2 linked regions of the Notamacropus eugenii genome follow. The protein of the gene in region 2 interacts with the protein of the main gene of each other region in a pairwise test. Links are inferred from orthologs where the notes say so. Each region holds a gene or a part of one and is shown on either strand. Other genes may lie near its edges. The genes, in order: CLOCK and BMAL2.

What was found.
Region 1: the proteins of BMAL2 (region 2) and CLOCK interact in binary tests that used the Homo sapiens proteins (3 or more experiments, as listed by UniProt). The link is inferred for Notamacropus eugenii from reciprocal best matches to the Homo sapiens genes BMAL2 and CLOCK.

The regions. Positions count from the first base shown.
Region 1 is NC_092877.1:106,940,491-106,956,527, reverse strand, and holds the start of CLOCK (circadian locomoter output cycles protein kaput), read left to right. Parts: upstream 1-8,791; 5' UTR 8,792-9,012; intron 9,013-16,037. UniProt on the Homo sapiens protein: Transcriptional activator which forms a core component of the circadian clock.
Region 2 is NC_092874.1:178,207,999-178,224,504, reverse strand, and holds the start of BMAL2 (basic helix-loop-helix ARNT-like protein 2), read left to right. Parts: upstream 1-9,047; 5' UTR 9,048-9,323; intron 9,324-16,506. UniProt on the Homo sapiens protein: Transcriptional activator which forms a core component of the circadian clock.

The sequences.
Region 1 (16,037 bases), on a different chromosome or scaffold from region 2:
CATAATTTTTAAATTGTCTCTCCTGGATCTATTTTCCTGGTTAGTTGTTTTTCCAATGAGATATTTCACATTATCTTCCATTTTTTCATCTTTTGGTTTTGTTTTGTGATTTCTTGGTTTCTCATAAAGTCATTAGCCTCCATCTGTTCCATTCTAATTTTGAAAGAACTATTTTCTTCAATGAGCTTTTGAACCTCCTTTTCCATTTGGCTAATTCTGCTTTTGAAAGCATTCTTCTCCTCATTGGCTTTTTGAACCTCTTTTGCCAATTAAGTTAGCCTATTTTTCCAGGTGTTATTTTCTTCAGCATTTTTTTGGGTTTCCTTTAACAAGGTGTTGACCTGCTTCTCATACTTTTCTTTCATCTCTCTCATTTCTCTTCCCAGTTTTTCCTCCACCTCTCTAACTTGATTTTCAGAATCCTTTTTGAGCTCTTCCATGGCCTGAGCCCATGGTATATTTATTTTGGATGTGTGGGATACAGAAGCCTTAATTTCTATGTCTTTCCCTGATGGTAAGCATTGTTCTTCCTCATCAGAAAGGATGGGAGGAAATATCTGTTCACTAAGAAAGTAACCTTCTATGGTCTTATTTTTTTTCCCTTTTCTGGGCATTTTCCCAGCCAGTGACTTGACTTCTGAGTTTTCTTTCCACCCCCATCATGCCTCCAGATCTGCCCAGCCAATGCTTGGGGTCTGAGATTCAAATGCTGCTTCCCAGCCTCAGGGCTCTGGGCAGGGGTGGGGCTGCTATTCAGTGTGAGATTAAGTTCAGATGCTCAGATGGGGGCAGCTCTGCCACTCGGGGCTCAGTTCTCTCAGGGGGTTTATGCAGAGACCTTCAACAATGGATCCAAGCTCCTGCCTGCTTGGGGAGCCCTGGTCTACTGTCACCCCCGCTGCTGCCTCCCGAGTGGGCCTGAGTTATGGGGACACCCCACTCCCCTCTTGACCAGCCAAAGAGACCCTCTCACTGACCCTTGTCACCTGTGGGTGGAGGGACCTGCCTTCCTGCTGGAGATTCTGTCCCTGAAGTCTGCTCGAATCTGCTCCCCTCAGGGCTGCGTGCCAAGGTAGGGCTGGGCTCCACTCCAGGTCCAGTGTATGACAGACCTTTTGAGTCAGGTTTTCAGGTCTCTCTGGAACAGAAATCTCGTCCACTCTCTTGTTCTGTGGCTTCTGCTGCTCCAGAATTTGTTGGGAGTTCTTCTTTACAGATATTTTATGGGCTGTGGGTTCGGAGCTAGCATATGTGTGTCTTTCTACTCCACCATCTTGGCTCCTCACCCAGATGTATAGCTCTTGTTGAGAGAACTAAGCAAGTATCAAGTCCAAATAGCAGCCCTGAGTGAAACAAGCCTGGCAAATGAAGGCCAACCTACCGAAGTCAGAGTTAGATATATGTGTTTCTGGAATGGCCACAGTGAAGGGGAGTTCTGTGAAGTTGGCAGAGGTTTTGCAATAAGAACTAATCTAGTCAGCAAGTTTGTATGGCTACCAAAAGGAGTGAACAACAGGCTCATGGCAATGAGATTGCCACTTGCAGGGAAGTGACACACCACTATCATTAGTACCTATGAGGAACCCTGATGAAGCCAAAGAAAAATTTTATGAATTCCTGGAGACCCTTATCATCAATGTGCCAAAAAAGGACAAGCTTGTAATTCTGAGTTCTTTGAATGCTAGAATAGTTACAGACTATCAGACATGACAGGAAGTCCTTGGGTCACTTAGTACTGAAGATATGGTGTTCTCTCATGACCAACACTCTTCCATTTACTTCAATGTAACAAAACTACATGGATGCAACCTTGCAGCAAACATTGGATTAATAGACTATGTCATTGTAAGGAGAAGAAACAGACTGGATGTGAGAGTGGCAAAGGCAATGTGTGGCAAAGAGTGCTGGACTGATCATAGCTTTATCCTCTCCCCAAGTTAAATATTCCCATTCAACAAAAGCAGTGGCCCCAAGACAAGATGAGTACCAGAAGACAATGTCAATAGATTAGAGTACTTCTCTGGTAGGAATAGTTTATAGCTAACTTGGAGGGAAAGTTGAACCAACACAAGGCTGGAAACAGTGGAGCAGAAAATGAGTAGGCAGTTTTCAAAGTTTTGATGTACAGCACTGCATTTACTCATCTGGGTCACAATGCTTACAAACATTGATGAAAATGATGGGGAAATTCAGAAGCTGCTAAATGAAAAATAAGAACTCCACATGACATTCCCTGTTTCATGCCTTTGCATGGGTAGTCCCCCATGCCTGGAATGTACTTCCTCCTAACTTCCACTTCTTTCTACTTCCTCTTTTCCCTCTAGATATAGCTCAAGCAACACCTTTATTTAAGTCTTTCTTGAGTCTTTTTTTTGAGGGCCTTTTCTCTTAAATTACCTTGTATTTACCTACTTTGTTATTTGTTTTCTCTCTCTCTCTCTCTCTCTCTCTCTCTCTCTCTCTCTCTCTCTCTCTCTCTCTCTCTCTGTCTCTTCCATATGTACTTATATTAATAATTCCTCTTTGTCTCTCCTGATGAAGTGTAACCTCCTTGTGACTCTGGATTGCTCCATTTATTTAATTTTATCCTTAGCAGTGCCTGGAGCATCAGATGTTTAATAAATGCTTGTTGATTGAGTAATAGTTTTATCCCCTGATAGAATGTTTCTTGAGGGCAGGGACTATTTTATTCTTGTCTTCATTTTCCAGCAAATAGTACAATGCCTAATCCATAGTAGGTACTTAATAAATACTTATTAACTGATTGATACCAAAGGCATAGAAAAAAATCCCAGACAATACCATTAACCAAAAGAGGTTACTAAGAAGAAACCAATAACTACTGCCTCATATGCCTACTTTTTCATCTCAATGAAATTTTTCTGAAAATAATATGCATGTGCACCAAGGACATTCTTGATAATAGTATTGTTATAAGGGATCAGTTAGGCTTCCTCAGATGATATTCTACAGTATTCAAAGCAGTGACTGAGAGATTTAAAGAATAAAAGATCCCATTGTACTCACTGTTTCCTGACTATAAAACATCACAAAAAAACCATTGAGTCAATAAAGCATTGTTATCGTTCAGTCGTGTCCAACTCTTTTTAAACCCTATTTGGAGTTTTCTTGGCAAAGACACTAGTATAGTTTGCCATTTCCTTCTCTATGTCATTTTATTGATGAGGAAACTGAGACAAATGGGTTAAGTGGCGTGCCCAGGATCACATAGCTAGTAAGTGTCTGAGTCCAGATTTGAATTCAGGAAGATGTCTTCCTGATTCTAAGCCCAGTGCTCTATGCACAAGCCCAACTTAAAGATTGTCATCCAATAAGGTATCTTCCATGCATTTGATATTTTATACATATTGAAAATGTAACGCTACAAGGCTGCAGTGTTTGAAAGTCTACCGCTGCTGAGTAGCCTATTTGATAGTGCAAGTAATGCCTAACAACTTCTGAGTAGAAAGGAGAGGGTTGTAATTTTGTATTACAGCCAGAGAAGCTGTAGTATAGTGACTTGATCGGGGTATGGTGCTTCTTGATAAGAAGAGATTTCTATCTGTTTCCAGAGTTTTTGTATCCAGGGCTTAAGCTCTTTTGGAAGTCAGTCAGCTAATCAGATCTTGTACGCACTTTGAAACCACATCTGCCTGCTCTCAGGATCAGTATCTCCATCCCAAGCCTCCAACCAGGGTTATAAAGTCCCCTTTGTCTGTAGTCAAATCCTGATTGCTAACCTGAACACCCTTCTAATAATTGCAGGGGCTATCTTCACAATTCTTGGGACTGTCTGAATCTGAAGCACCAGACATTTTCTTGGCCCAAATCCCTTGGGTCTTGCCATTCAATTGAACATGAATATATTTTTGCTAAACTAATAAGGCAAGGTCATTGTCTTCCTCTTTACCCACCTTCCTGTTTTTATTCTGTATATGTGACTGGTAAAAAGCCTCACGGACTTTGAGATGCCCCCCACACCTTTCTAGATTAATTTCTCACTACGTAACCTGAAGGAGGTTGGCTTTGGAAAAGCAGAACGGATATCTTTTCATTGAAAACTAGAAGGAAAGTAGGAGAATGTTTTGAGAAAAAGAGAAGCTTTGAATTAGATAAGGAGTTAAATGGGGGGAGGGGCATAATTTACACCAAATGACTTCCCATAGCTCAATACATTTGCAAGTGAGGTGATTTCCTGAAAGTATCTGGCAAGTAGAATCCTAATAAATTAATTGATTAAGTTTGAGGATCAGGAAAAAAGATAGGGCAGTTTTAGGAAGGGTAAAAACAGTTTGAATCCAGTGGAGTAAGAGAAAAGGAATCAAGAGGATTGTCAAGCACGGTGAATGTTAAAGTGAAGCTAGACAATCTGGATTTGTCATTGGCCCAGTCTGCACGGGTCTGTGATTTTCCCCAGCAACGCTATCCAGTCTGGGGACAGAACTGAAGAATGGAAGTTGACTAGGGATTAGTTCTAAGAGTGGGGAACTGGGAAACATAAAGGGAGGAAAGAAAAAAGAAGAGGGTATTATTGGAGGTTAGCACTAAAGTGACTGACCACTGAATTCTGCCTGGGCAGAACTAGTTAAGTGGAGGAAGAAAAGGTCTAATGGATTAGGTGAAGTGATGGACATGTGGAACAACTAGAGATTCAGGTGATGAGGAAGAAAGGTTCAGTGCATGTGGATTAAGTTGCAAGTAAGGAAACTATGAATAAGGGACACCATTTAAGTGAACAATGAAAAAATGTATTAATCCTTTTGTTTTGCTACCACAGTCATTTTCTGGTATGCGCAGCCTTCCTTGAATACTCTGAATAACCAACTTCATGAAAAATGATTTCTTCTGACATTGAATGTAACTTCTGCAACTGTAGTCCCTCCATCTCACCCCACCCCATCCCCAATACACAGAAAAGTAAAATGGGTTTCATCGTCTGTTCTCTGGGATTAAAATTGGTTGTTACGTTTCATCAACACCTTCCAGTGTTGCAGGTATTCATCATATATATTTTCTTCCCTCTTCTAATTTCTTTGCTCTGTATCACTTCATATTAACCTCTCCATAGTTTTCTGAATTCTTCCTATTCATCATTCCATACATTATATTCCATAATACTATTCAATAATATTCACATACCACAGTTTGTTTAACTGTTCCCTGAGAGTTGAGTACTCATTTTCTATACTTTTTTTTGCTAATGTAAAAAATGCTGCAATCAGTATTTGATTGGACTTTTTCCTTTCTCTTTTTGGGGGTATATATCTAGTAGTAGGATTGCTGGATTAAACATTATTAACAGTTTAATGGTTTTTCTTGCATAGTTCAAATTTGTCTTCCAAATGGATAGATTAACTGGCAACAGCTCCACCATTATTATTATTTATAATAATTTATAATTTACAATAATTATATAATTATAATAATTATTTACACATACATTATTACATATTAGTGTTCCTCTCTTCCCCTCACCACTCCTTCAACATTCGTTGTTTCTGTCTTATCTTTGCCAGTTTGAAGTTAGGAGGTGAAATATCAGAGTTGTTTTAATATGAATTTCTTTAATTTTTTTCACATTGAACATATAATCTATTAAACATTGACTGTGCAAAATACTGTGCTGGGAATACAAAGAAAGAAAAATGCCCTCAGAGGTAATCAGTTGAGGGAAGTAGGCTTGGGAAGGTAGAAAGTGAGGGGAGGGCATGATAACTGTCAAGTACTTGAAAGGCTGTCCCATGGAAGGGAGATTAAATTTGCTCTGTTTGACTTCAGAGGACAGAACTAGGAACAGAAGCAGCAGCTAGGTGACATACTAGATTGAGTGCTGGACCTCTCTTGAGGGAGACCAGTGTTCAAATCCTTCTTTGAACTTATACTCAGTGTGTGACCCTAGGCTAGTCATTTAACTTCTCTGTCTCAGTTTCCCCATCTGTAAAATGGTAATAATAACAGAACCTACCTCACAGGGTTGTTATGAAGATCAAATGAGAAAATGCCTTAGAAAGCATCTGAGTAATGTGAAATAAGGATGAAGGAAGAAGAGGGAACTCTCAGAGAATATCAGTTTTTTCAGTGAAATATGAGACAGGGTTCTTAGCTGAGAAGGTAGGGGGAGGGAGAGCCATGAGAAGTAGGAGGGATAAAAAGGTGTGTAAAAAAGCTTTTGTGGCAAATCAGAGAGTGAATAGATTGGGGGCGAGGAGTTACTCTGGAAGGATTGCCTTCCTGAAATGAGAACCCAACTGAGATTATGTAACATAAATTTGTAATTGACGTGTCCAGCTTTGTTGAAAAACATGTGAATATAATCATTGATGATGAATAAGTGGGAATAATCTAATGCTGGACTTGGCAGGTGTCCATAAGACTAACTTTAATCAGCCTTTCCCTGATTTAGCTTCTCCCCAATAATGTGGAGAGGTCCAGGCTCCTCCTTCCCTAAACCTAAGGGGTTATCTTTTCAGTAAAAGGAGACAAATCAGTCCCCAAGACATGATTAACTTCCCCTTCCCCAGACCAGCTTCCAGGTCACCTGAAGGCATAAGAAGTTTCAGTCACATAAGCAGTCAGGGAAGTCTGAAAACCACAGCAGTCCCGACCTCATAACTAAATACTTTTCCATATGGAGACAAGGGGAGGTGGGGGATAACCAGAGAAGCTAAATAGCATTGCATCAAGGTCCCATCTTTGCTAAATTAGGGCAAAGTAAACTACCTTCTGTTATCTGTTCCAAGACTTGAAAGTGCCTTACTTAGTAAAAGCAAACCTGAACGGAGAGTGAAAGTGTTAGGGCTGGTAGAGCAGCCTCTGGTAACAGGGCAAGATCAGCTGTAGGATAAGGAGCAAGGAACTCAAGGTAAGGTGATAGTGTAAAGCTGAAACGGTTCATTCAGGGTTCAAGACCGGGAAGGAAAGACCGTAACCAGTTTACAGGTGTTAGCTGGGGAAACACCTGAGGAGAGGAGTGATTGAAGTCATGGTGAAGATGAAGAACGGAGCTGAGGGATGTCAGGCAAAGAGAAAAGTGAAATAACAATAGGTCATCATCAGATAAATTTCAGAGTTCATGAACATCAAAGTAGACGTGAGTCATGGCAAGACCAAGGGCATGACCATCCTTCTGTAGCTGAGGTGGGATTGAGAAGCAGGTCATGGGAAATGGATAAATTGAGGAAGTGGGAGGTCAGGGTCTTTGAGGGAATGTGTGTATAGATATAAATGCGCACACACGCACACACACACATGTCTTCTAATATGAGGACAGAAGTTGGGGAGGGGAATGTGTTAATGGACTCAGAGGAAAGCAGAGATGTCTTGCAGGTCAGTAGATAAAAGCTCCCAGAGTTTTGATTGGACGATATAACTATGGACTGAATGACCCTCAAAGGAGGAGAGGTTACCGTGCGTATAACCCGAATTGCCCCTAGGGTCGGAGAAGACGTTCTGGGAAGCAGTGTCCTCAGAAGGCAGTCAGGTCTCCAGTGAGTGCCAGACGGAAGGAGAGGGAAAACATTAGATGGTCATCTCCTCTAACCACCTCCCCTCGCCCATCAGTGCCACAATCCTAGGTGGTGTGAACCATAGGTCTGAGTCAGTAGGACAATCCTATACCTAGGTGTCTTCCCGTGGGTACAGAGAAAGTCAGTTTTAAATAAAGCTCACTGCAGGGACTGTCCTTGTTATATCCAGAATGTGACTTTTAAAAACAGTATGTATACACTGATTTAAATTCCACGAAACTGCCTAGGAATTGAACGGGTCTAACACCCCTGGCTCCCCCAAATCCAAGCTGCTTTGCAAGACGGACCAAGTATTCCTTAAGCACCGACGGGGTCATTTAGGTGCGCGCTTTGAGGCAGCGATGTGGACAGTTACTGCCCAGGGTCGGTCCCTCCTCACCCTCTCCGGGCACCGAGCCTGGGGCCGGCTGGGGGTGGGGTGGGTGGGGAAGGTCTGTCTTTGACCCGCAGACCACCGGGACAAAGTACGGCTCCAGCTCGGCCTCCTCTGGACGCCTTCCCCCCGGCCCGCAGCGCCTGCGGCCTCGAGCAGCAGAGCGCGGGCAGGGGACTGCCGGGCTGGCCGGGGAGGGGGGCAGGAGCAGCCGAGTTTTCCTTCTCCGCCTGCGTGTGGTTCAAGGCTCTCTGAAGAGGCAGGCCCTGTCCTTGGAAAAGCCACGCCAACCCCACCTCCCGGCTTTCCAGTAACGGGATTCGTTCCTGCCAAATGCTGGGAAGGAAGGCAGGAGCGAGACCTCCGGGAAAGCCCCAGCTTCCTCTGTGCCCGGGCCAGTCTGGGAGAACGGGGACAGAGCTAGAGCAGGCTGGGAGGCGGGGATAGAGGCTGGGGGCCAGAAGCGAGAGGAGGAGGGAAACCTTCGAGCCCGCGCAGGCGCAGGGCCGACGCGAAAGCTGGGCAAACAGGAATCCCTCACCCCACCCGCCCCAAGCGCCCTCATCCAAGAATCCGCATGCGCACCAGAAGGCTCGGGAGCCTCGGAGGCATGGCTGAGAGAACGAGGCGAGGACGGCCGTCGGCGCATGCGCACGGTCAGACGCTCAATCACAGATTTGATTTGCGGCTTGCCGATTAAAAAAAAAAGGGTCTGCTCCCTACGCGTGCGCGCTGCGGGCAAGCTTAGCCAGAGCGGCTGGGCCCGGGGCCTGTCCGTTGCCGGTAGGCTTGACTTGGCGGCGCATGCGTGCTAGCCGTGCCGGCGGATGAGGGGAGGGGAAGAAAAGAGGAGGGGAAGGAGAAAGAAGAGTGGGGTGGCCGCAGCGGCGGCAGCAGCAGCAGCAGCAGCAGCAGCAGCAGCAGCAACCGCGGCGGCGGTGACTGCGGGTACTTCTCGCAGGCCTCGGGTGCTGCTGCTGCTGGCGGTGGAGGCTTGTGGTGTAGCAGGGGCTCCTTGGGAGAGGCAGCAGCTGCCGCAGCCACACGGCGGGGTGGGGGGAGGGGGGAGAGGGGAGAGGGAAGAAGCCGCCGGAGCCGTCGGCCGTTCGCACGGTGAGGACCGAGGGCGCTGGGGAGGGCGGGGGGCGCTTCTCAAAGTTTGACAGCCCCGCGGGAGAGTCTCTCTCCGGGAGTTGGCTCCGGGGCCCGCCCGAGGAGGGGACGCCCCTCCCCCCTGGGGCGAGTTGGGGCTACCTGGCGGTCGGGGGGGGGGGTGGCGGAGGCTGGGGGCGGGGCGGAGAGCCGGGGGACCGAGGGTGTTTCCTCAGGGACCCGCTAGGCCTTGTGACCCACTTTATTTCTGTCACTACCCAGGCACGTTTGGAGCGCAGCCCGATTGGGCGTCCGGGTCGCCCTGGGCTCTCGGTCACCCCCTCCCTGTCGCCGGCGCTCGCGCGGCCCGGGGAGCATCCTCCCCGCCCGCTGCCCGTGCCCGCCGGGCTCCGGAGCGTTGTGCTCGGCGCGGCGGGGAGCGGAGCGGAGCGGGGAGCTGCAGCGCGGCCGCCCCCGCCGCATCCGGCCCGCGGAGAGCCGCGCCGGGCCGCGCGAGGCCGGGCCGCCCCAGGCGGGAGTTCCGAGCTCGGACTCCCCCTCGCGTGTGCTACTCCTCGGGGAACGCTCGGACGGCGGAGCCGAGCGGGAGGTGGGGAGGGCGGGCTGCCCCTTGGCCTTTCTCGCCGAGGGCGGCTTCTGACCGCCGCTCTTGCCCCTGGGGTCGGGCCGCGCGTCGCCTCCCGGGGGTGGTGGGCACAGTGCGGGACTTCCCATTTCGGCCAGGAGTCGGGGGCGAGGAAAGAGGCCGGGACCTGGCGGGGGAGGGATGTCCGTGGTGTGTTGTTTCCTGCAGTTGGGATTGATCGGCGCTGGGAAAACTTTGAGGCATGAGAGAGAGGGAGAGAGAGGGAGAGGGAGAGAGAGAGAGAGAGAGAGAGAGAGAGAGGGAGAGAGAGGGAGAGGGAGAGAGAGAGAGAGAGAGAGAGAGGGAGAGAGAGTGTGTGTGTGCATGCGTGCGCACGTCTGTGTGTATATATTGCATGTGTATGTGTGTGCCTGCAGGCGGGCCGGCGGGCCTCTGTGTGTGTGTGTGTTCTGTGCCTGCCTCAGTGCTCATACAGGTACACTGCAGATCTGTGCATATGGAGGTTGTGTGCCAGCGCGTGTGTGTGTGTATGTATATTAGTATATGTATTACGCTGATATTTGAGCACATAGGTGTGTGACTAAGTGGGACTGTATACATGTGTATATGTGTGTCCCTGCAAGCAAGACTGTGTAGTGTGATAACGTATATGTGTGTGCATTTATATGTGCATGTTTATGTATGTATACACGTTTGCATATGTGCACATCATTGAGTTCATATGCACCTGTCTATGTGCATGTCATATAGACGTATGTACTGTCTGTCTAAATAGGTACCCCCAAAAATTGAAGATGAGAAGAAAAAGGGAAACTTGTTCAGCTACACGTTATTGGTTCATTCTTATGATCCGTAAAATCAGAGTAATGCGGTTCCATTCACAATTGCATTTCAGTTTCTGGGTAAGGGTGTTTTGGTCAGGGTGAGGGTGTAGAAAAGGAATAGGAGGAAAAGAGACTACATTGTTGAATGTATTTGCTATAAATATTTAAAGATTAACATGGAAACATCCTAATCCAGGAAGCATTTAAAAAGTGCATTCCTTTTACTGAAATAAATTCTTTGAGATGCCTCCAATCTGATTTTGCTTTAAAACTTCTTAGGGAAGAAAATAATCTTGAGTCAAATGTTAAAACACTTGACTGAAAAAGATTGTTTCTAAAGTTAAGCATGAATAAAGTTGTGTGAAATTAGTTGTATTTCTTTACACACTAATATATTCAATGACCTTTTTGAAGTAACAACTTATTTTTTAATTCAAGAAAACAAAAGCTAGTGGACTTCTCTGATTTGTGGACTTTAATTCTGACCATGAACAGAGATTTTAAAATTCAGTGGAATATGGAATAGTTTGCATTTTCATAGTTCACTTCTTTGGTTTAGATACAGATATCATGGTGCTCTTTGGATTTGACAGTGGTTGTCATGCTCATATTTTCAGAGTTTAGCTTCATTTGTACTTCATTAATCACTACTGTGTAGTGAAAGTTTTCCTGTCAATCACTTAGGAAAAATGAATAGACTAATATGTGAATTTCATATTGGATTTGGCTTGTCTAGGTATTCTGAATTTCAAGTCATGGAATTTAAGGGTCTCAGCAAGTACTATAAAATTCATATTAGGAAATAAGAGATTTCTCTTGTAAATCAGTATATTAGCTGTTTAAGACAATTTCACGATGAAGTTCATACTAAAATAATTTTTAAAAAATTTAATGTTAATACATGTCCTGTTTTATATACTTTTAAAATTACCACTGTCCTAATATTAATGCAAGCAAGGATATGGGGGCTAAAAGGAGGTTACATATTTTTTTAAATTTCAGACTCCCTCTAGTGGCTGACAGGGTGTATCCTTTTGAAATTACTTTACCAAGGAGTGGGAAAAATTGCTGGGAAAGTTATTATTTATTGAAGGTTTTTTAAAAAGTAACTTACTAGTCTTACTTTTCTTTGTAAATTTTGTATTATTTTTGTATGTCTTTGTATTATAGGACATGAATTTTGTATTTGATCTCTTCTTACATATAATTTCATTTTTTGGTTCTGAAAGATGGGCAGTTATTTCCAATTTGCTTTACAGTGGGTGTTCTGTTCAGTCTTGAACACCACTGAAGGCAGTGTTCAACTAGTCATTCTGTACCATCCTCCCCACCAGTGACCTCCTTACTTTTCCTGCCATTGCTAATATTCCATTGCAACCCAAGGACAAGTGAATGATTTTGTAATACATCATAAAATATAATATAAAAATACAAGTAAAATACAAAATACAAAAATGCAGCTATGAGTCTTAGAAACAGCTATCTCTTCAAATTTGAAAGGCCGGGATAGTATGTGAGCAGTTTGTATTGCCCTAGGTATGCTCATACTGGTATGGACTATCCTTGATTTCAGGGATTCTGGTCTGGACTTGAGTGTGTCTCAGTCTATACAGTCGGTGGGCTAAGTCCTCTGTTTCTGCACCCTTTAAAAAACTTTCTTTAGTATTTTATTTTTCCCCAGTTACATGCAAAAATAGTTTTTAACATTCATTTTTAAAACTGAGTATTAAATTCTTTCCCTTCTTTCCTCCCCACCCCCCTCATTGAGAAGGCAAGCAGTTCGATATAGGTTATAGTTGTGTAATAATGTAAAACATTTCCATATTAATCATGTTGTGAAAGAAAACGTAGACCAAAAATCCTCAAGAAAAATAAAGTAAAAAAGTATGCTTCAGTCTGTATTCAGACACCATCAGTTCTTCTCTGGGGATGGATAACATTTTTCATCGTAAGGCCTTCAGAGTTACCTTGGATCATTGTATTTTAGAGAACAGCTAAGCTGATCATCTTACTGTATTGTGATTACTTTATACATAATACATTTCACTTTGCATCAGCTCATCTAAGTCCAGGCTTTTCTGAGAGCATTCCACTCATCATTTCACATAGCATAGCAGTATTCCATCACAATCACATAGCACAATTTGTTTAGCCATTCCCTAGTTGGTGGGTATCCCCTCAGTTTCCAATTCTTTGCTACCAGAAAAATGCTGCTATAAATATTTTTGTACATCTAGGTACCTTTCCTTTTTGTTTTTTGTCTGTTTAGATATAGAACTTAGTAGTGACATTGCTAGGTCAAAAGGTATGCATGGTTTTATAGTCCTTTGGGCGTAGTTCCAAATTGCTATAAAGAATGGTTGAATCAGTTCACAACTCCTTTTCTTTCATTTTTCTCACATCCTCTCCATCATTTGTCATTTTCTGTTTTTGTCCTATTAGCCAATCTGATAAGTGTAAAGTGGTACCTCAGAATTATTTCAATTTGCATTTCTCCAATCAATAGTGATTGAGGACATTTCTCCATATGGTTATAGATAGCTTTGATGACTTCATCTGAAAACTTCATGTCCTTTGATCATTTGTCAGTTGGGGAATGGCTTTTATTTTTATAAATTTGACTCAGTTCTCTATATATTGAGAAAGGAGGCTTTTATCAGAGAAACTTGCTTCAAAAATTTTTTTCAGTTACGATTTCTAAATATATTTCCCTCCATCCTATCTCCCTTGGCCCTCCCCCACACATTTATTCTCTCTCCTTTCACTCGGTCCCTCCTCAAAAGAGTTTTGCTTCTGGCTTCCACTGCCCCCAGTCTGTCCTCCCTTCTATCACCTCCCCACCCCTTTTCTTACCCTGTTTCCCTCCTACTTTCATGTAGAGTAAGATAAATTTCTATATTCAATTGAGTATATATGTTATTCCCTCTTTGAGCCAATTCTGTTGAGAGTAAGGTTCACTTCCTCTCCCCAATTCCCCACTTCCTCATCTTCCCCTCCACTGTAAGCTTTTTTTTGCCTCTTTTATGTGAGATAATTATGCCTCTTCCTTTCCCTTTCTCCCAATGCTTTCCTCTTTCTCACTCCTTAACTTTATTTTTTTAGATATCATCTCTTCATATTCAACTCATACCTGTGCCCTCTGTCTGTATATACTCCTTGTAAGTGCCCTAATAATGAAAAAGTTTTTTATGAGCTACAAGTATCATCTTCCCATGTAGGAATATAAACAGTTTAACCTTATTAATTCCCTTATGATTTCTCTTTCCTGTTTTATCTTTTTTATGATTTTTGAATCTTATATTTGACAGTCATATTTTCTATTCACTCTAGTCTTTTCATTAAGAATGCTTCAAAGTCCTCTATTTCATCGAATGTTCATTTTTTACCCCTGATGGACCATACTCAGTGTTGCAGGGTAGGGGATTCTTGGTTGTAATCCTAGCAACTAGTCCTTTTTACTCTGGAATATTATATTCCAAATCCAGTCCTTTAATGTAGAAGCTGCTAAATCTAGATCTTAGCCTGACTGACTTCATGATACTTGAGTTGTTTCTTCCTGGTTGCTTGCAATATTCTCTCCTTGACTTGGGGGTTATGGAATTTGGCTGTAATATTCTTGGGAGTTTTCATCTTGGGATTTCTTTCAGGAGGTGATTGGTGGATTCTTTCTGTTTCTATTTTACCCTCTGGTTTTAGAATGCCAGGGCAGTTTTCCTTGATCATTTCTTGAAAGATGATGTCTAGGTTCTTTTTTTGATCATGACTTTCAGGTAGTACAATAATTTTAAAATGATCTCTCTTTGATTTATTTTCCAGGTCAGTTGTTTTTCCAGTGCGATATTTTGCATTGTCTTCTATTTTTTCATTCTTTTGAGTCTGTTTTATTGTTTCTTGATTTCTCATAAAATCAATTCTGATTTTTAAGGAATTACTTATTTTGCTCAATTCTGATTTTTAAGGAATTACTTTCTTCAGTGAACTTTTGTACCTCCTTTCCCATTGACCAATTCTACTTTTTAAGGAATTTTTTTTCTTCAGTGAATTTTTGTGCCTCTTTTTCCATTTGTCCAGTTAGGCTTTTCAAGGCATTCTTCTCCTCATTGGCTTTTTGTACCTCTTTTACCATTTGGCCTATTCTGTTTTTTAAGGTGTTATTTTCTTCAGCATTTTTTTTGTGTCTCCTTCATCGAGCTGTTGACTCTTTATCTATGATTTTCTTGCATCACTCTCCTTTCTCTTCCCAGTTTTCCTTTTACCTTTCTTACTTGATTTTCGAAATTCCTTTTGAGCTTTTTCATGGCCTGAGACCAATTCATATTTTTCTTGGAGGCGTTGACTTTGCTATCTTCTTCTGAGTGTGTGTTTTGATCTTCCTTGTCTTTAGTAACTTTTGTATGGTCAGATTTTTTTTCTATTGTTTGTTCATTTTTCTCATCTGTTTTTTTTTTTTTTTAAGATTTTTAACTCTGCTAAAGTGGAGCTCCTTCCAGGGTGGAGGTACACTGTCCCAAAATTCAGGGGCTTTGTGTAGCTGTTTTCAGGGTTACTTCTAGGGACCTGTAAGTTTTCAGTTCTTCCACTGTGGTATGATCTAAGCAGAGGTGTATTTACTACTCTCCTGGCCTGTACTCTGTTCTGAGTGACCACAAGTGTTCTTTTATGTACCTGGAACTGTGGCAAGGGTCCCCTCTTCTACTGTAGCTGCAAAGAGACCCCTGTAAGCTCCTTCTGATCAGTTGTTTAACTCCCTTGCCATCCATGGGGCTGAGAGCTCCAGAAGCAGCTGCTGCTTTCAGTGCCTCTCAAGGACTGCTTCTGTTTTCCTGAGACTTGTCTATGCTGGCATGGCCTGCACTGAATTGTACTCCTCCTCACCCAGTGCTACAGCACTTTTCCTGCAGACCTTCTAAGTTTTCGTTGCCTGGAAAATTATTTCACCTTGTCTTTTTGTGGGTTCTGCTGCTCCAGGAATTGTTTTATGTCATTATTTAAAGGTGTTGGGTGGGTTTTGGAGAGAGCTCAGGCAAATTACTGCCCTCTATCTGCCATTGTGACCCTACACACCTTTCTACACACTCTTTTAGCAAACTTGTGCCCACCAGTATCATATTAAGCTCTGGGCAGTTCTCTGAAATGGACTTCAATGCAGACCTTCATCCCAAGTAAAACACTAGTTGATTCAGAACTAATGGCTAATTCTGGAGAGCAATTTGGAACTCTGCCCAAAGGGCTACAAAAATGTGTACATCCTTTGACCCAGCAATATCACTTCTAGGATTGTATCCCAAAGAGGTCATAAAAATAGGAAAGGGTCCCACACATACAAAAATATTTATAGCAGCTCTTTTTGTGGTGGCCAAAAACTGGAAATCAAGAGGATGCCCATCAATTGGGGAATGACCGAACAAGCTGTGGTATATGAATGTAATAGAATACTATTGTGCTGTAAGAAATGATGAACAGGAAGACTTCAGAGAGGCCTGGAAGGACTTATATGAACTGATGCTGAGCAAAAGGAGCAGAACCAAGAGAACTTTGTGCACAGCAACAACCACAGTGTGTGAGGAATTTTTCTGGTAGACTTAGCCCTTCACAGCAATGCAAGGACCTAAAAA
Region 2 (16,506 bases):
AGCTCTCTATCCTCAGTGTAAGGACTACCTGAATTCAAGTCCCATCTGTGGCATACTATGTCACCCAAAGGAAATCACTTAAAGTCCCAGTGCCCAAGGCAACTCTCTAAGAATGTAAGAGACAGAACAGTTGCAGAGATGCATTGGTGGAGAGAGTTTACTCACCAGAAAGTCTCTACCAATGAAATCACACATCTGAATACCAACAGAAGATCAACCCTTATGTCTAAGAGGGGAAAAATAAGAGCCAACCACTTGTTTAAAATAAGAGATCATGTTCCTAAACCATCTGTTAAGATATTCTTTGGCTCTGCTAGTTTCACATTATTGCATGAAGGAAAAAATTAGTTATTCTGAAAAGAAAAAAGAGCCAGCATTTTAGAACACAAAGAATGAGTACCACTGAAACCTTACCAATGTAGTGGTGCACAACTGTTAAATACTGCCTGCTTCTCTCCATCCACTCCACATACTGCCTCCCTGTTGTTTTAGAATCTGGGCTACTGCAATGTGACTTTCAGGCTCTTTATGTGAGTGAGTCATCCTTTTAAAGAAATATGGTCCTTGTTTGTTGATTGTGGATCACTGCAGTTATGTTATTGGAGACAATGTTAGACTAGGAGTCAAGAAGACTGAATTCTAGTTTTTCCTTTCCCATCATTGAGACCTTCAGAAGCTACTTAATCTCTTGGAGACTCAGTTTTTCCCTCCTATGAAATGAGGAGAATACCTGCCCAAAGGATCTCATAGGATTGTTTTAAGAATTGAAAAAGATAATAGTTATAAAATCCCCTTGCAAAACATGAAGCAGTATACAAATATGTATTTTAACTCTTGAGACACCAATTGGGTGACTGTAAATAACTTAGACACTATTTGCCTCAGTTTCCTCAAATGTAAAATGGGAATTGTAATAGCACTTGTCTCACAGGGTTGTTGTGAGGATCAAATGAGAAAATATCTATAAAGCACTTAGCACAGGGCCTGGCACATCTTAGATACTTAATGATTATTTCCTTCTCTTTGAGTCCTGCTATTTTCACTCTGTTGTAGAGGGTCACCTTTAAAATAATCAAGATTCCAGTTTGGGGATATTCCAAAGGTGTAAGGACCAGAATGATGGCAACAATGCAACTTTATTTGGACCAAGTTGCTAAGTCAGCCAATGTGAATTCTAGTTGTGTACATTTGCCCTAGAGCAACCACTTGAATAAAAGCTTTGGTGGAAGCCATGTTCTACTTTAAAGCATTGTATCTGCTTGGCTCTATGGTGACATACTGTTTCAGAACTCTGCCAGCAGAAATTGAAGCTGGTGGGAGCTGGAGTGAATGGTAATGAGCAGAGTTCAGAGTCATACAAAGCCTGGGCTGTGGTATAAAGGGTTACCCTGCTCCCACCCCTACCCTTCCCACTCATAGACACAATGGTTGAAAACAACTACAGATAGGATATAATCTAGCTATTTTGAAGTCTGTGGTAAGAATATTCTTGGTCCTACAGCTTCTTACTTCAGAAGTCCAAGATAGCACTTAAATCAGAATTACGAAGCTAGTTTGATTTAATGTAAAGAGTATTGGATTGGATGAATTTGGCTGGAGTCCTATAACTTATTAGCTGGGTGATTTTGCCTGGTGTAGTAGATATAAGTATTATACTTGTCAGTCAGTCAACATGATGAGGTACAGACTCTGGGAACCTCCTTGAACTCTCCAAGAATCTTTCCACTTAATCTGGTTTTTCATACCCAAATCTGTTAGCCTTAACCTAGCCTGGCCCTCCATTATCTGTTACCATAGGGTTGCCTCACCTGCTTCTCACCCCAGCCCTTCATTGTCTGCTATATCCCAATTGCCTCCAGCTGTTTCCCACCCTTGATCCAGTCCCCGGTCCCAAAAAGATCCTCCTTGGACTCCTCCTCAAGACCCTCCCTAAACCCCTCCTCCCATCATCCCAGACTACCAAGCCACGCCTAGATCCCTCCCACAGTTTTTCTGCACACAAGTTCCATCTTGCCTCCAAGAAGGCCCTCAGATTCTACCTGGCCTGCTTGTCAATACTAGTGTCACAATGGTTAGGCTTCTTAAGAGTCAACCCTGTAGGGCAAATCTTTAATAAACTTTGTTTTCTTTGGCTAAAAGAAGTCTTCAGTCAAATTCATTTGGGCAGGGTGTCATTTGGGGTCTCAAGCACTCCAGACTTCAACATTGTGGTTCCCTGACCTCAACAGACAGGCACTTCATATGTATATGTATGTGTGCACGTACACGTATGTGTTTATACATACATATGTTTATATTATTTATGTGTATATAACGAGTATATACATGTATTTATATTATATGCATATATATGAATATACATATATCAACATATATGTATGTGTATAGCTATAGCTATATCTAGATATATCTATAGGTAGATATGCATTATGCCAAAATTTTCAGAGCAGAACTTGTAAATGTTAATAGCTACCATTATATACCACTTTTAGGTTTGCAAAGCACTTTACATGTATTGTGCATCATTTGATCCTCACAATGATCCTGTGTGGCAGGCACTATTATTCTTATTTTACAGATGAGGAAACTGAGGTGTAGACATGTTAAGTGACTTACTCTGCTTCACACACCTAAGGCTGAGGTAGCCTTTGAATTCAAGTTTTCCTAACTCCAACTCTAGCACTCTATCTATTGTACCACCTTGCTGCCTAAGCAAGTATCCCTAGACTGGGAAATGGTTCAACAAATTGTTACACGAATATGTGTGTGGGGTTAAAATCACCCCATCTTAACCAGGTGTAACAGGAGATTGGGTATGCGCAAATATGTATGTCTGCATATTTGTCAGATTCAAATTCCCTAAGTGGAAGAAACTGGAGAGCTTGTTTCTGGGAGAGTCATCATGATGTATAATAGAAATGGCTTGGATTGTGGAACATGTGTAGACATTTTGTAACTGGATTGTTTTTATGAACCACTGGTGAAAAGATGGCTTTTTGATGGGCTTTGGAGACATTAAAAAAGAATTTGCAACCAAAGCCTCAGTCATTTTCTCTTCTCCTGCACTCATGGTAAATCCCTAAATGAAACTTTGTTGACAGTGTCCAGGAAGAGACAATGCTGTAGGGGAAGAAGCTTTGAGAACTCCCTACTGATGTCTTTATGTGGCCAGTTAATGCCTCCTACCTCATCATGTTTCTTTTTTTTGTTTTAGATGAAGGGATTGGAGACACCAACCTTGTGAGTTTCAAAGGTCAGGGAAATGACACCTCACTATACCATAACATTCCATTTTTCTGTCTCTGGGCCTTTTCATTTGTTATCTCTATGCCTAGAATATTTTCCTTCCTCTCCTCTGCCTTCTGAATTCCCTGGCTTCTTTAAGATTCAACTCCCTTCCCACTTCCCATATTACCCCCCATGTACAATACACAGTTATTTAGATACTATTTCTTCCATTATATTGTAAACTCCTTTAGGGCAAATACCCAGGTGTTTTGGGGGGGTTTTTGTTGTGTTTTTTTTTTTTTACTTTTGTTGCATTCCCAGTAGTTAGTACAATGCCTTATGCAATAAGTACTTAATAAATGCCTGCTGACTGCCTAACAGTGACCAGAGATGGAACATCAGATTGGCCACAGCAAATATGCCAGTTTGGCTAGAATGTAGAAATACATGAAGGGAAGTAATGTTCAGTCAGCATGGAAATATAGGTTGGCACCAGAATGTAAAGACTTCACAATGCCAAGTCACCGTTAAAGTTTTCTGAGCTGGGAAGTAGCATGATCTCCCCTGTCCTTGGACAAGTTAACTCTCTCAACCTCAATTTTCTCATTTTTAAAATGCAGGAGAATGGAATGAATGACCTCTAAGGGCAACAACATTTGTAATTCCTATTTTAAGAATCCATGATTTCATTTCTGTGTCTTTTCATTGACTCTTTTGTGCCTAGAATGCTCTCCCATCTCACCTCTGCCTCATGGCTTTCTTTAAGACTCAGGTCAAATCCCATTTTACAAGAGACCTTTGCTAGTCACCCCACTCCCACTGCTAATGCCTTCCCTCTAGTATCATCCTCCCCTATTTATGTTGTCTATATCTTATATGTACATAGTTACTTATGTGTTTTCTTCCCCATTTGAATGGGAGCTTCTTGAGGGCAGGCTTTTGACTTTGTGGGGAAGGGTTTGTTCATTTTAAATTTCATGATCATAAATTTAGCTCCAGTCTAACCAGACTTGTGGAAAGAAAAGGGGAATCTAAAGGGAAATGCAGTTAAGTGAAGCACAAAGATTATAGGGTATAAGAACATCCAGGGGTGATCTCCCCAGTTACAAAGGAATAGTTTAGTGGGTAAGACAAAAAAACTAAACTGAAAAGCTTATGAGAGTTGTCCACAGTCAGAAATGGTGATCTGCCATCTGGTCTTGACATCGTGGAATGTGAAGCACTCCATGGCTTTCACCTAGCCAAAGACCACATGCTTACCATCCAGCCAGTGTTAGCTGTAGGAATGAAAAACAAGGAGCCATTTGTGTGGGGCCCAGCACTTGCCATGGACAGGGTACTTCAGGGTAAAGTTCTCTTCATGGAAGTTTTCTACTCTTTGGAACCTTTCCTGCAAAGAGCTTGTAAATAGCTTGGTCCAGGGGCTCCTTATTAGCAATGTCAAAGAATGAGATGGGATTGGCAGAAGGGTGGAGGGCAAGAGGGACACTGTGAAGTTAAGGACTCTTGGTGGCCCTGTCTGCAAAGTGTTTTGATTTACTTGGTATGCCTAAGGCTTAGTATAGTTCCTGGCATATAGTAAGTACTTAATAGATGTTTGTTGATTGATTGATTGATCTATGTGGATACTTCTTGTACCCACAGCTTCCCTTTGCCTCAGTAGTTGATATCCTTGAGTTATTGTGGCTGAAAAAGTTTATCACTTGGTGACCATCCTTACAATATCTATCCCTTCTGACCTTCTCTGACTAGGCCAGTGTTCATCTGCAAAACATCCAGTCTGTCATTGGCACCTTATTCAAAACATTTCCAGATTGATAGAACCTGCCAAAGCTTAAACTCTGGCATCCCATTTTGTCACCCATATCCCCTTCTTACTAGATTTTGGTGGAGGTCTTTGATTCTAAGAATGGAAGAGAGAACCCTCAGCTGTCATACCCTTGGCATGGCCTTATTTTTAAGTAACACTCAGGACTAATGAGTAGGTTCTCCAATCATAATGGGTAATTTAGAACCCCATGATTAAGGTTAGATTCACAGAAGCATAATTATCAAATGTCATCTGGTTTGTGTACAAGGCTTTGGAATTTTTTTCTGGGTTGTTTCATTTGCCACTACCTCAACTAAGAAAGCTGTAACCAAGGAAACCTAAGGACTATGAAATAGCATATTCTAAACTTGGATTGTATCTCTAGAAAATTCATTGTAGGATCTTAATGCTGTAAGTGATTTCTAAAGGTGACATTGCCCAATGCCCTGCTTTGTATAAAACATTCCAGGAGATAGGTGTCAGTCCTGTCACTAAAGATTTTCCAAGGGGAAGAAAAGGTAGTATTGATTGGCTTGTTCAATAACATACAGTGTGTCCCTAGAATCTGAATTCAGTAAAGCAATTTAAATGATTAAAACTTTAAACTGCAGTAAGACTTTTGGGACACCTTGTATTCCTATCAGTCACACCAGGAATAATAACCCACTTTTTGTAGCAGTTTAAGTTCGACACAGTTGTACACAGCATGATTATCTACATTTTAAAGAGATGGGCTTACAGAGGTTGTGACTTTCCTGTGATCACATAGCTAGCAAATATCCAAGTTGCCATTTTAACCAAGGATCAGCTGACTCTAGGAGCAGTGTTCATTTACCCCATACTGCTCTCCAGTATTTTACCTTTGAGAAAGCCAAGGGAAACCCTTATAGTACAGTCTAAAGAACACTGATTTGCAATCAGAAGACCTGGGTACGAATCTTGGCTCTTCTACTCACTACGTGGACAACCTTGGATCAGAGCCTCAGTATTTTCATCTCTAAAATGAGAGGGTTGGATTAGATGATCTCTCAGGTCCTTTCTGTCTCCATCTCTTATAATCATCTGATTTTCCTTATATTTGGACCAAACCTTTCTGCAGTTTTACTATGAAGAAACAAATACCTTAAATCTCTGTAGCACTTTTTTCCTCCTCCCAACAATTTTCACATATATTATATCACTTGATTTTCATAATCACACCTTGGACAAGTCACTTAAACTCTCTCTGCCTCAGTTTCTTTTTCTGTAATATAAGGAAGTTGGACTCAATAGCTTCTGTGTTCCTTTCCAATTCTAAAAATCTATGATCTATGATTTATGACATTGTGATACAGGGCAGACATTAACCATATATTACCCATTCAATTAAATTATAGTCCATAATGGCAGTTTTGGAGACAAGGCAGGCTTCACAAAAGAAAGGGCAGTCATGGGCTATTATTACAGTATGTTGCAACTCAAACAAGGGAAAACTCAAAACCTAAAATAAGAAACCATATTGCTGAGGAGAGAAGGGGCACAGGAGGAGAGGTAAAAACTGAAAGGGCAAGAACAAAAAAAGGCTATACTTTGAGAGGTCACCAGCACTTTAAGTTTTCACACTCTAGCAGGAGGAAGAGGATGTAGCATATCCAGGATCTATGACTCTCTCATCACTCTTCTCCTTGATAATGAAGGATGTCCAGGAACTTTATTTTTGAGGGGTGGGAGAACATAAGTTTTCACTCAAGGTGGTTTGATAAATTTCCCATCTTTAAAGTCATATACAAAGGGAAACTGGGGATTGGCCAGCAAGACACATGAAATGGATTTTTTCCAGAAAATAAAAGGGAATGAGCATGGGTCCAAAACAGAGGCAGCCTGTTATCAGTATTCAGAAAAGTTTCCCAAAAGATTTTTTTTATTATCACAAGTATCACAATTATCATGCTGTATATACATGGTATAGGCTTAAGCCCAAAAAGTTTAAGTCCAAGGTCACACAATTAATAAGTAATTATATATTTGTATAATTATATAGAATGTATGTTTATAGAACATGTAACCTTAATTTTAATATAAATTATAGATCATTATTATATAAAATAGGTAAGCTGGAAGTTAAACTCAACTTTTTACACTCCAACTTCACTACCCTGGTCCCTGCTGTCCCCTTAGTGTCACCCTTGAAATTCTTTGTTATCTTCAAACTAAAGCATTCTTTCATTCCTTTATCTCTTCTTTATGGAGTTCTGAAAATTCAACCCTTTACATTATACTTCTGTGGCTTTACTTTTGGATGTCAGATTCCATATGAGTTAAGACAGTAAGTGATGTCAGTCTCTGAACCTCTCTCTCTCTTTTCTGCAGTGGGGGAGTTGTTGTTTGTCCATTCTTCTTGAAGACAATCATAGTATCCAGAAGGTGATGCTATGACAAGTGAATAGGATTTAAGTGAGGCAGGGTTGTGCAAAGTCACCAGCCCCACTTTCTCCTCCAGAGCCATCTGAGTCCAGTAACAAGACTGGAGATGGCCCTGTAGGCAGTGGGAGACCTTGACCTTTTTAAGCTAAGGTGGAGTAGTATGGTTGTGGAATATTGAATATATTCTCTGAACCAACTGATGTGTTGTTTAATTTTGCCAAACAGCTTCCCTCCTCCCCTTTTTTTCTTATCGTTTGCCATAGGGAAGGACTGTCTGAGTAGGAGGAAAGAAGATCAAGGTGATGTAAAAATAAACATTTTTTAAACTTAAAAATAAGACCAAAGTATTGGAGGGGTTGAACTACTAAAAAAGAAATGTCATTTTCTTTTTTTAATTTTAAAATAATTTTTTCTTGATCTTTTGATTTTGGTTCACCTACCCTTCCCAATATATCCCTGCGCCCTTCTCAGAGAGCCATCCTTTACTTTAAAAAAATAATAATAAAAGCAGAAAAAAGTTCGGTAAAATTAACACACATTTTGAAAAAAGGCTGACATTCTATCCAGTATTTCACACCCATAACCTCCCACTTCTGTAAAGTAAGAGTGTGGGGGAAAGGGCCTCAGATTCTTAGCATTCAATTTTTAATATTTGTTTCTTATATTTCTTTCCATTTCTATTGTTGTGGTCATTGTGTCTATGGTTTCCTCAGTTCTGCTTACTTCATTTCATATCATAGGACCATAGACTTAGATTCATTAGTGGCCAAGTCCAAGGCCATTCCCTTTATAGGTAAGGAAACTGAGACCAAGAGAGGATAAATGTCTTGCCCCGGGTTACAGAGATAGTAAACGTCTGCAGCTGGATTTGAACCCAGGACTTCCTGACTATGGTTTGTATAAAGTCTTTCCGTGCTCCTCTGTTTTCATCATATTCATTACTTCTCACATAGCAGTAATATTTCATTACAATCTTGAGCGACGACGGGTTGAGCCATTCCCCAATGGATGGGCATTCACTTTGAAAAATTTCATATTTTAACACTCATACATTGATATAAATTTCAGCTGTATGGAGGGAGCAGGGCACAGTAGAAAGAACATTGGAACCCAGGGTTAAAAGACCTGGGTTTCAGGCTCATCTCTGCTGTTTAGTAACTGTGAGACTTTGGGTAAGTCACTCCACCCTTCTGGGCCTCAGTTTCCCGATCCGTAAACATGCGGGGGTTGGACTTAGATGATCGTTAGGGTCCCTTCTGTTTGTAAATCCTATGCCTCTCAGGGAGCTCTTTGGGCAGCATTAATACTGAGATCAGGGATGCCAGTGGGAATCCCCCTTTTTCCTCGTCCGCAAGTCATCTGTGATCTGTCTGTATCTTTTGTCATCCATCTATCTCCTGAGCTCCTGGACTCTGGGATCTCCTTTTCAAAGACTTTGAGCCTGCCGCAGGCACCTCTACCCCCAGCCCAGCCTCTGCTCCTCCTTCGCATTTCTCCCAGTTACCCCGAAAACCCGGTTAGCGGAATCGGCATCCACTGCTTGCCTTGAACGGGTGCCAGGGCAGCCCGACCGGGCATGCTCAGTAGCCCGGCAGGTTCGGCAGGCGAGTCTGAAGCTTTGCCCGCCCCAGCGGCTGGTGTGCAGGGAGAGGGGCCGCTCGCTGCAGAGGTGGCCGCTGAGCATCCCTGGCGCAGCCCCGCAGGTGTGCCCGCAGCCGCCGCGCTGCCGGATCAGCCTCGTCGGGCGTGTGCTGGACGGACTGGGGCCCCCCTCCATGCAGCCAGCCCGAGGGCTCGAGAACCAGCCGGCCGGCCCCTGCTATGGCTGGGGGAGAAGACACTGAGTCTGCAGGGAGCCAGCCCGCCGAGGCTGCGGCGCCAGGTGAGTCCCTAAGTGACACAGCCTGGCGGGCTTGGGGCGAGCTTGGGAAGGGGGGTGGGCGAGTCTGGGAGCTTAGCCCCCTCCATCGACCCCGAGCTGGGGGACCCGCTGCCGCTGCTGCCGCTGCCCTGGATGGGAATGGAAGGAGCCTGCCTGTTCACGCCGCTCCTTGGGATACCTGCTGCGGATGAGGGTGAGCGACTGACGAGAGAGCACTTAGCTCCTTCAGAAAGGGAAAGCAGGCTCTGATTTTGTTATGTGCACACCTATGGGCTCAGGTGGCAGGATGCTTGCCGGGGAGGCACGATGGAAGTTGTGTTGGCACCGCTTGGGCAGATTTAAGTGTATGTCTTGCCCTGAGGGGAGAGCCCTAGAAGCAAATCCGTTCCGTTATTCCAGAGCAAATCTGTAGTCACAGATCTCCTTCCTACTACCCTCTTTCTGTCTGTCATTTTGAATGGTCTACTTGCTTTCTTCTGGCCCCCTGCCATCATCATTCATAAAAAGAATTTTGTTGTTGTTGTTGTCATTCCAGAACACAGGAAGAACAGGCAGCATTCTCTTCTCTTTCTGGCTCCAGAAACTAACCAACTTTGACTGAAAAACAGGCAGGAGAGCTGTAGCTCACAGGCTCCTTAAAAGAAACGAAAATCTATTTCTTTCCCTCTACTCTTCCTGCCCCAAGAAACGCACCCATCCATCCACACCCACACCCACGCGCCCACACCCCCACACCCCCACACTCCTTGTAATAAAGGGGGAGGTCATAGATTTAGAGCAGCAGCCGCTACCTATTCAATCCCTTCTCCCGATTTATATTTGAGGAAACTGAAGCCCAGAGAGGTTGAATGATTGGAAGTTACAAGCAGAATTTGAACCCAGGACCTCTCATTCTAACAGTGCCTCTCATGGTACAATGCTGATACATCAGCTTACAGGATTTTTATTGTTGTTCAGAAAAAACCAACTTTCTGTTATACAAAGTTTTCTTTCATTTATTATAATTATTTATAGTAGTCTGTCTCTTGGGTCTGTTATTGAAAATAATGGAACCATCATTGTATCTACCACTTAAGATAAGTGACAGAGAAATAAAAAGAATTTTAAGAGAGTTTGCAGAAAAAATATTTGGGCAGAGGTGATTAGATTTCTATAAGCTTTACCTAATGTAGTAAAAATATATTCAATTATTTGCCAAAATAGACTGTGAGATGAGAAAACTTAGTATTCTCAAAGTGGTACTTTGGAGTCTTGTAGTGTTTCCAATTCCCACCATCATAATGTACCTCATCATGTATTTTGCAGAAGACTGGGATAAACAATTACTTAACTTATAGCTCCTTTTTATTTTTTAGTTAAGACTGGTCTCCTGATAAAATATTTGTCTAGACTTGTGAAAATATGTAACCAGTTTTGTCCAAATCCAGGAGGCATTTGAATTCTTTCAATGTATGCTAATCTAGGTGAGCAGAAATTCTAGATTAAATCGTATGGCCCTGACTGAACCTTAGTGACAAGGTACCTTTAGCTAAGTTATTTTCATTATAAATAAACATTGTTGTTTAGTTGAGAACTAAATGTGAAGTTAGGACATGCTTAAAATGATCCTTCTGACTTAGCTTTATATAAACATACATAAACAGTGAGTTTGGTGACTGCAATAATGACAGTTTGACCTTCTGAGAGACTGAATGAAGTGAGGCAGATTGCATCTCATTTCCTAACACCTCCCCCCTCCCCCCTTTCTTTTTCTTTGAATCCTAGAGCCTTGTGTTAAACTGATCTAGACCCTGGAGTATGCCTTGAGAAGGAGACAGGTTTTCAGTAGGCATTATATTTCTGAGAAGACCGAGCAAGTCCAACTCAACCCTTCATCATCCATATTTAGGAGGGGCCTGAGATATCAGGTCAGTTCTGAGGCCAGCCTATAGGCTTGAGTCCCCTTTTAGACAGGCTTGGGCTAAGTGGAAATCTAGTGGTGAACTTCTGTGCCATCCAAAGTAGCCCTGTAACTCCTCAGTCTTCCTGGAGTCTTTCACGTTAGGCATGACTCAGAATTGGTTTGTTCTCTGTGGGACTGTTGCAGATTCCAACAGATCCTCTGGGCTTGGCAGATTACACTTACAACTTTAAACAAGGATCAGAACTGAACTGGACATCTGAGGTTTTCTGGTTTTGCTTTTTCTTGGTTGATGAAGATATATGGCACAGTGGATAGAGTGCTGGGCCTCGAATCAGGAAGATTCATGTTTCTGAGTTTAAATTTGTCCTCAGACACTTACTGTGTGACTCTGGGCAAGTCATTTAACCCCGTTTACCTCAGTTTCCTCATCTGTAAAATGAGCTGGAGAAAACAGTGGCAAAACACTTGATTGTCTTTGCCAAGAAAACCCCAATGGGATCACAAAGACTTGAACAGGACTGAACAGCAACAAATATGGTAGAGAGAAGTTAAGACCTAAGGTTTAAGTAAGATATGATCCCTACACATAATTTAATACATTCTTATATTACGTGAGAAGCAAAAATCCAGCCTTGAATCTAAGAAAACTTGGCTGGATTCAAGTCCCATTCCCAGTACACTAGATGGGTGACCCTGGATGAATCACTTAGCCTCTCAGTGTTCTATACAACTCTTTAAAACTATACATTTCTTTTTCTTCTTGGTTTCTTTCCTTCCTTTTTTTTTTTTTAAATTTGGAGGCAATTAGGATTAAATGACTTGCCCAGGGCCACATAACTAGTAAGTGTCTGAAGGCAGATCTGATAGTCCTCCTGACTCGAGACCAGTGTAAAACTATACATTTTGAAGAAAATACTGACTTGCACTGGGAGAGAGGTCTTCCTCACTCAGGAGTTCTTATTAATGAAATCACAGTTCTAATCCCATCCTACATTGCATGACTAGTACACTCAAAATAAACTAGAACTTTGCCTATTATCTTAATGGTCTTCCTCAACCTAACACTTTCTCTCTACTTATCTATTTCATTATTTTGGGTGAAACAAAAATGTTTTAAGGCAGTTCTGATCTATAGCTCTTTATTACCAGGTTCCTATTCCAGGAATCTATTTCCATTTATCTCATCTACCAAACTACAAATTTATCATTATATCTAAATAGTCTGATATTAAGATCTTATTGGTATAAGTCTAAAAAAAAAAAAGCAGGAGGCTTGAAATTACTTTCTGTGCTTGGACTGTAGAGGGTTAGGTAAGGAATCTTTCTAGCCGACAAAAATTCCCTGGGGGAAAACCACAGGTAGACAGTTCATTTGAGAATATTATTTGACAGACTTAAGAAAAACAGAAAGACTGTACACTCTGCCAAGTGAGGGTGAGTGTCTTCTTTGTGGATGACTTCAGAATTCCTGGAATCGAGGACAAGACAGCATCCAGGAGAGCAGAGTAGACTGAGATCTCCTGATGGTAGGAGAGGTGGAGACAGAGCTGCCTTGCTCCTATTCATCCTGTTTTTCTGCTAATCCCCTCTTAGTTTCACCTTGAAATTGAGGAATAATACCATTTTGCATTGTGGATTTGTAATTACTATGATTGAAATTCATTTTTTTCATGACTCAGCAATCAGAAGCCATTTTAATTAACTCTATATAAACTTGTATTCATAGTCAGCATCCATACTCAATGGTTCTGCCTTGGTGCACATTCCCCAAGTCAAAGTAGAACACTCTCACAGAACTGCAAAATCTTAGAACAAAAAGGGACCTTTGAAAAAATTTTGTCTCAGTCTTTCATTTTGCAGATGAGGAAATTGGGTCCCTAAATTGCAGAGCTAGGACCAGTACTCAGGCTCCTGACTCAGTCCAATGTGTTTTCTAGGCACACCAACACACTACTGATTACCTTTCACAGAAACACACACACACACACACACACACACACACACACACACACACACACACACACACACACACACACACACACACACACACACACACACACACACACCCCTTACCATCATTTAAACTGTGGAACAAAATGAGAAACTCAAACATGTCATACTGAATGCAGCTAATATTTGTCTGTGCTGTGAAACTTGATTAAAATGCTCTTCCCTGCAAACATTGTTAAAGGATTTATGGATGGAGTTATAAAAAAAATGATTACTTTTAGTTTAAAAAAATGTGACCTATTTACTTGATTGAGCTCTACTTTTTATTGTTGATGGTTAAAGGCCAAAGAAGATCTAGGGCATTAGTCATCGTCAGCAACCAATCTGACAGACATATATTAAGTATCTATCATGTGCAAAGCCCTGTTCTAGGAGCTATGATTATAAAGAAAAGAAAGCAACAGTCCCTGCTTATTTTACAGATATGGAAACTAAGTCACAAAGAAATTAAGACTTGCTCCTGATAACATTACTAGTGAATTCGAAGGGCCAAGTTACTTCATCTCTTTGGAGCTCAGTTTCCCCATCTATAAGACAGAGATAATAATAGCACCTGCCTCCCAGCATTGTTTTTAGTATCAAATGATATGATTGTAAAGTTCTTAGCACAATGCTTGGTGCATAATAAGCATTATATAAACGTTATCTGCAAAATGGGGATAACCACATTTACCTCCCTCATAGGATCATTATGAAGGTCAAGTCTGACCATGTATTTTCTAATTATGCATTTTAAACATTTTTTAAAATTCTGAACTTAACAAAATGCAGAGCATTTTCACATACACAGCAGAATACAAGAAGAGGGGTTGGACATACACCTATTCATCTCCATTTTATATCACTTGCTTTAAAAAAAAAAGTACATCAATTTCACCCATTAATTTCAAAACTGACTCATTTATTTGTCCTTCTTTTTGAACTTCCTTCTGTACTTAGGCCGAACATTAGAAAAAAAAAATTCCATCATTCCTCCACCTTCTTTTTTTTTTTTTTTTTTTTGGTATCACTGTTGCTAACCCCATCTTACCCCTCTCCCATTAAAAACTGAGAGAAAAAGCAATCTTGTACAAAACAAGCAAAACTGATCTATATAGGAGGCAGGCGGGTAGTACAAGGGATAGAGTGCTAGGCGTGGGGTCAGGATGATATGAGTCCAGCCTCAGACATTTACTAGCTGTGTGACCCCTGGGCAAGTCCCTTAACCTCTGTTTGCTTTTATCCACTGGAAAAGGAAGTGGCAAGCCACTCCAGTATTTTTGCCAAGGAAACCCCATGGACAGTACAGTCAATCCATGGAGTCACAAAGAATCGGACACAACTGAACAAGTCTATATAGAGGCTGTGTCCAAAAATGGTTACCTTTTTTTCATACCTTGAGTCCATTACCTCTCAGCCCGGAGGTTGTTAGCAATGTTTCATCAGAAGTCCTCTGGATATATGATTAGCCATTGCATTGATAAGAATTTAAACTCCTAAAGTTGATTTTCTTTACTCTCATTGACCTTGTATAAACTGTAGTCCTGATTATTCTCACTTCACTCTGCATCACTTCACACTACAAAAAATTCTGTGAAATTGTCTCTTTTGTCACTCTTACAGTGCAATATTTCATAGCATTCGTACACTAAAGTTTGATCAGCCATTCTCCATTAGATTCTAGTTCTTTTCATTTCTTCTCTCTCACAGAAGGCAAGAAAATCCTACTCCAGCATCAGAAGTTTGTTTTTCTACTTGCCCTCACATTATCCTTCACCTTACCTCAGTTGTTGAATTCGACATATTTCTACACCAAATGATTTTTGCATGTGGTCTACCCTACTTCGTCCATTTCAGATAAGAATGAGGTTCATCTGATGCTTTCTGTCCCCATCCTGTCCTCCAGTGTTTATATATTTTTCTCATGCACTTTAATTATAAGAAATAGCAAGTTTTAGCCCCTTCTTCCTCTGTTCTACACATTCATGTGTTCCTTCTTGCTTATACTTCTCTTTCATCTTTTAAAGTCCTCAGAAGAAAATCAATCTATGCTCAGGTTCTTGTTTTTCTTACATATATCACTTGATAACATTTGAAGATATCAAGATTCTGAAAGGATACTGTTTTTTCTCCCTCTTTTAGAATGTTGGCACTACTTCATCATAGAACTCCTTCATATTGTTCAATTAATTTTACCTTTCTAGATTTCTCTTGATTTTTGTGCTTATTTCCAAAGCTTCTGCTCAACTCTGATCTTTCATTAGAAAAGACTTAAAGTCTTCTATTCTATTAAAGATACATTTTCTTCCCTGTAAGATTATAATTAGATTTGCAGTATAAGTTATTTTTTATTGTAAACTTATCTTTTTTGTCTTTTAGGATATTGTATTCCAAGGTCTCCTCTTATCATTAGTAGAACATGTTAGGTCTTGTATGATCCTAACTGTATTTTCTTGGTACTGGAACTGTTCCTGCCCCCACTCCAGGATACTTACAGATTTGTTTGTTTGTTTAACATGGGAGTTTTGGATTTGGGCTATGATATTCCTGGTATTTTCCCTTTTGGGGTTTCTTTCAGAAGTTGATTAGTGGATTATTTCTGTTTGCATTTTGCTACCTGTGTTTATAACCATACTTTAGTACTTCAGAGATCCATGTTTTCATTGATATGAGTACTTCCTCCACTAACACAAATCACAACCCCTCTCTGACTTGGCAGACTATCTTCCACTATCATTTAAGGTAAAATATTCATCATTCTGGAGCCATCTTGGTGGTACATCTCTCTCCCTAAACCTATCCTTGAAGTGCTTCTAACTTTCTATAGCCTATCAAAGTTTGTGCTTTAAGACTGCTACAGCCATTAGGGAACCAAGATGATACCCTCCACCCATGATGAAGCATCAGAATAGGACTTTAATGGGGGTTTATAATCATGAAGACTGGTATAAATGTAATTAATTGCCATGGATAAGCAGAGCAGTCTTTAATAATCATTCTCTCTCTCTCTCTCTCTCTCTCTCTCTCTCTCTCTCTCTCTCTCTCTCTCACTCTTATCACATTCAGTCATATTCATGATAACACTGAAATACTCTATTAACTGCCAAGAATTTTCCTTAGACTTTCTTGTTCTTTGCCCTGAGCTCTTTATGGATTGAGGGAGCAAACAGGTACTATGGCTTAGTGATCTCTTGATGTCAAACCCACTTCTTTGAATCAGAGATGGCATTGCTCTCTTGTCATCTACACATCAGCCACAAAAATGAGAGAAAATTACTTTGAATCCATTGA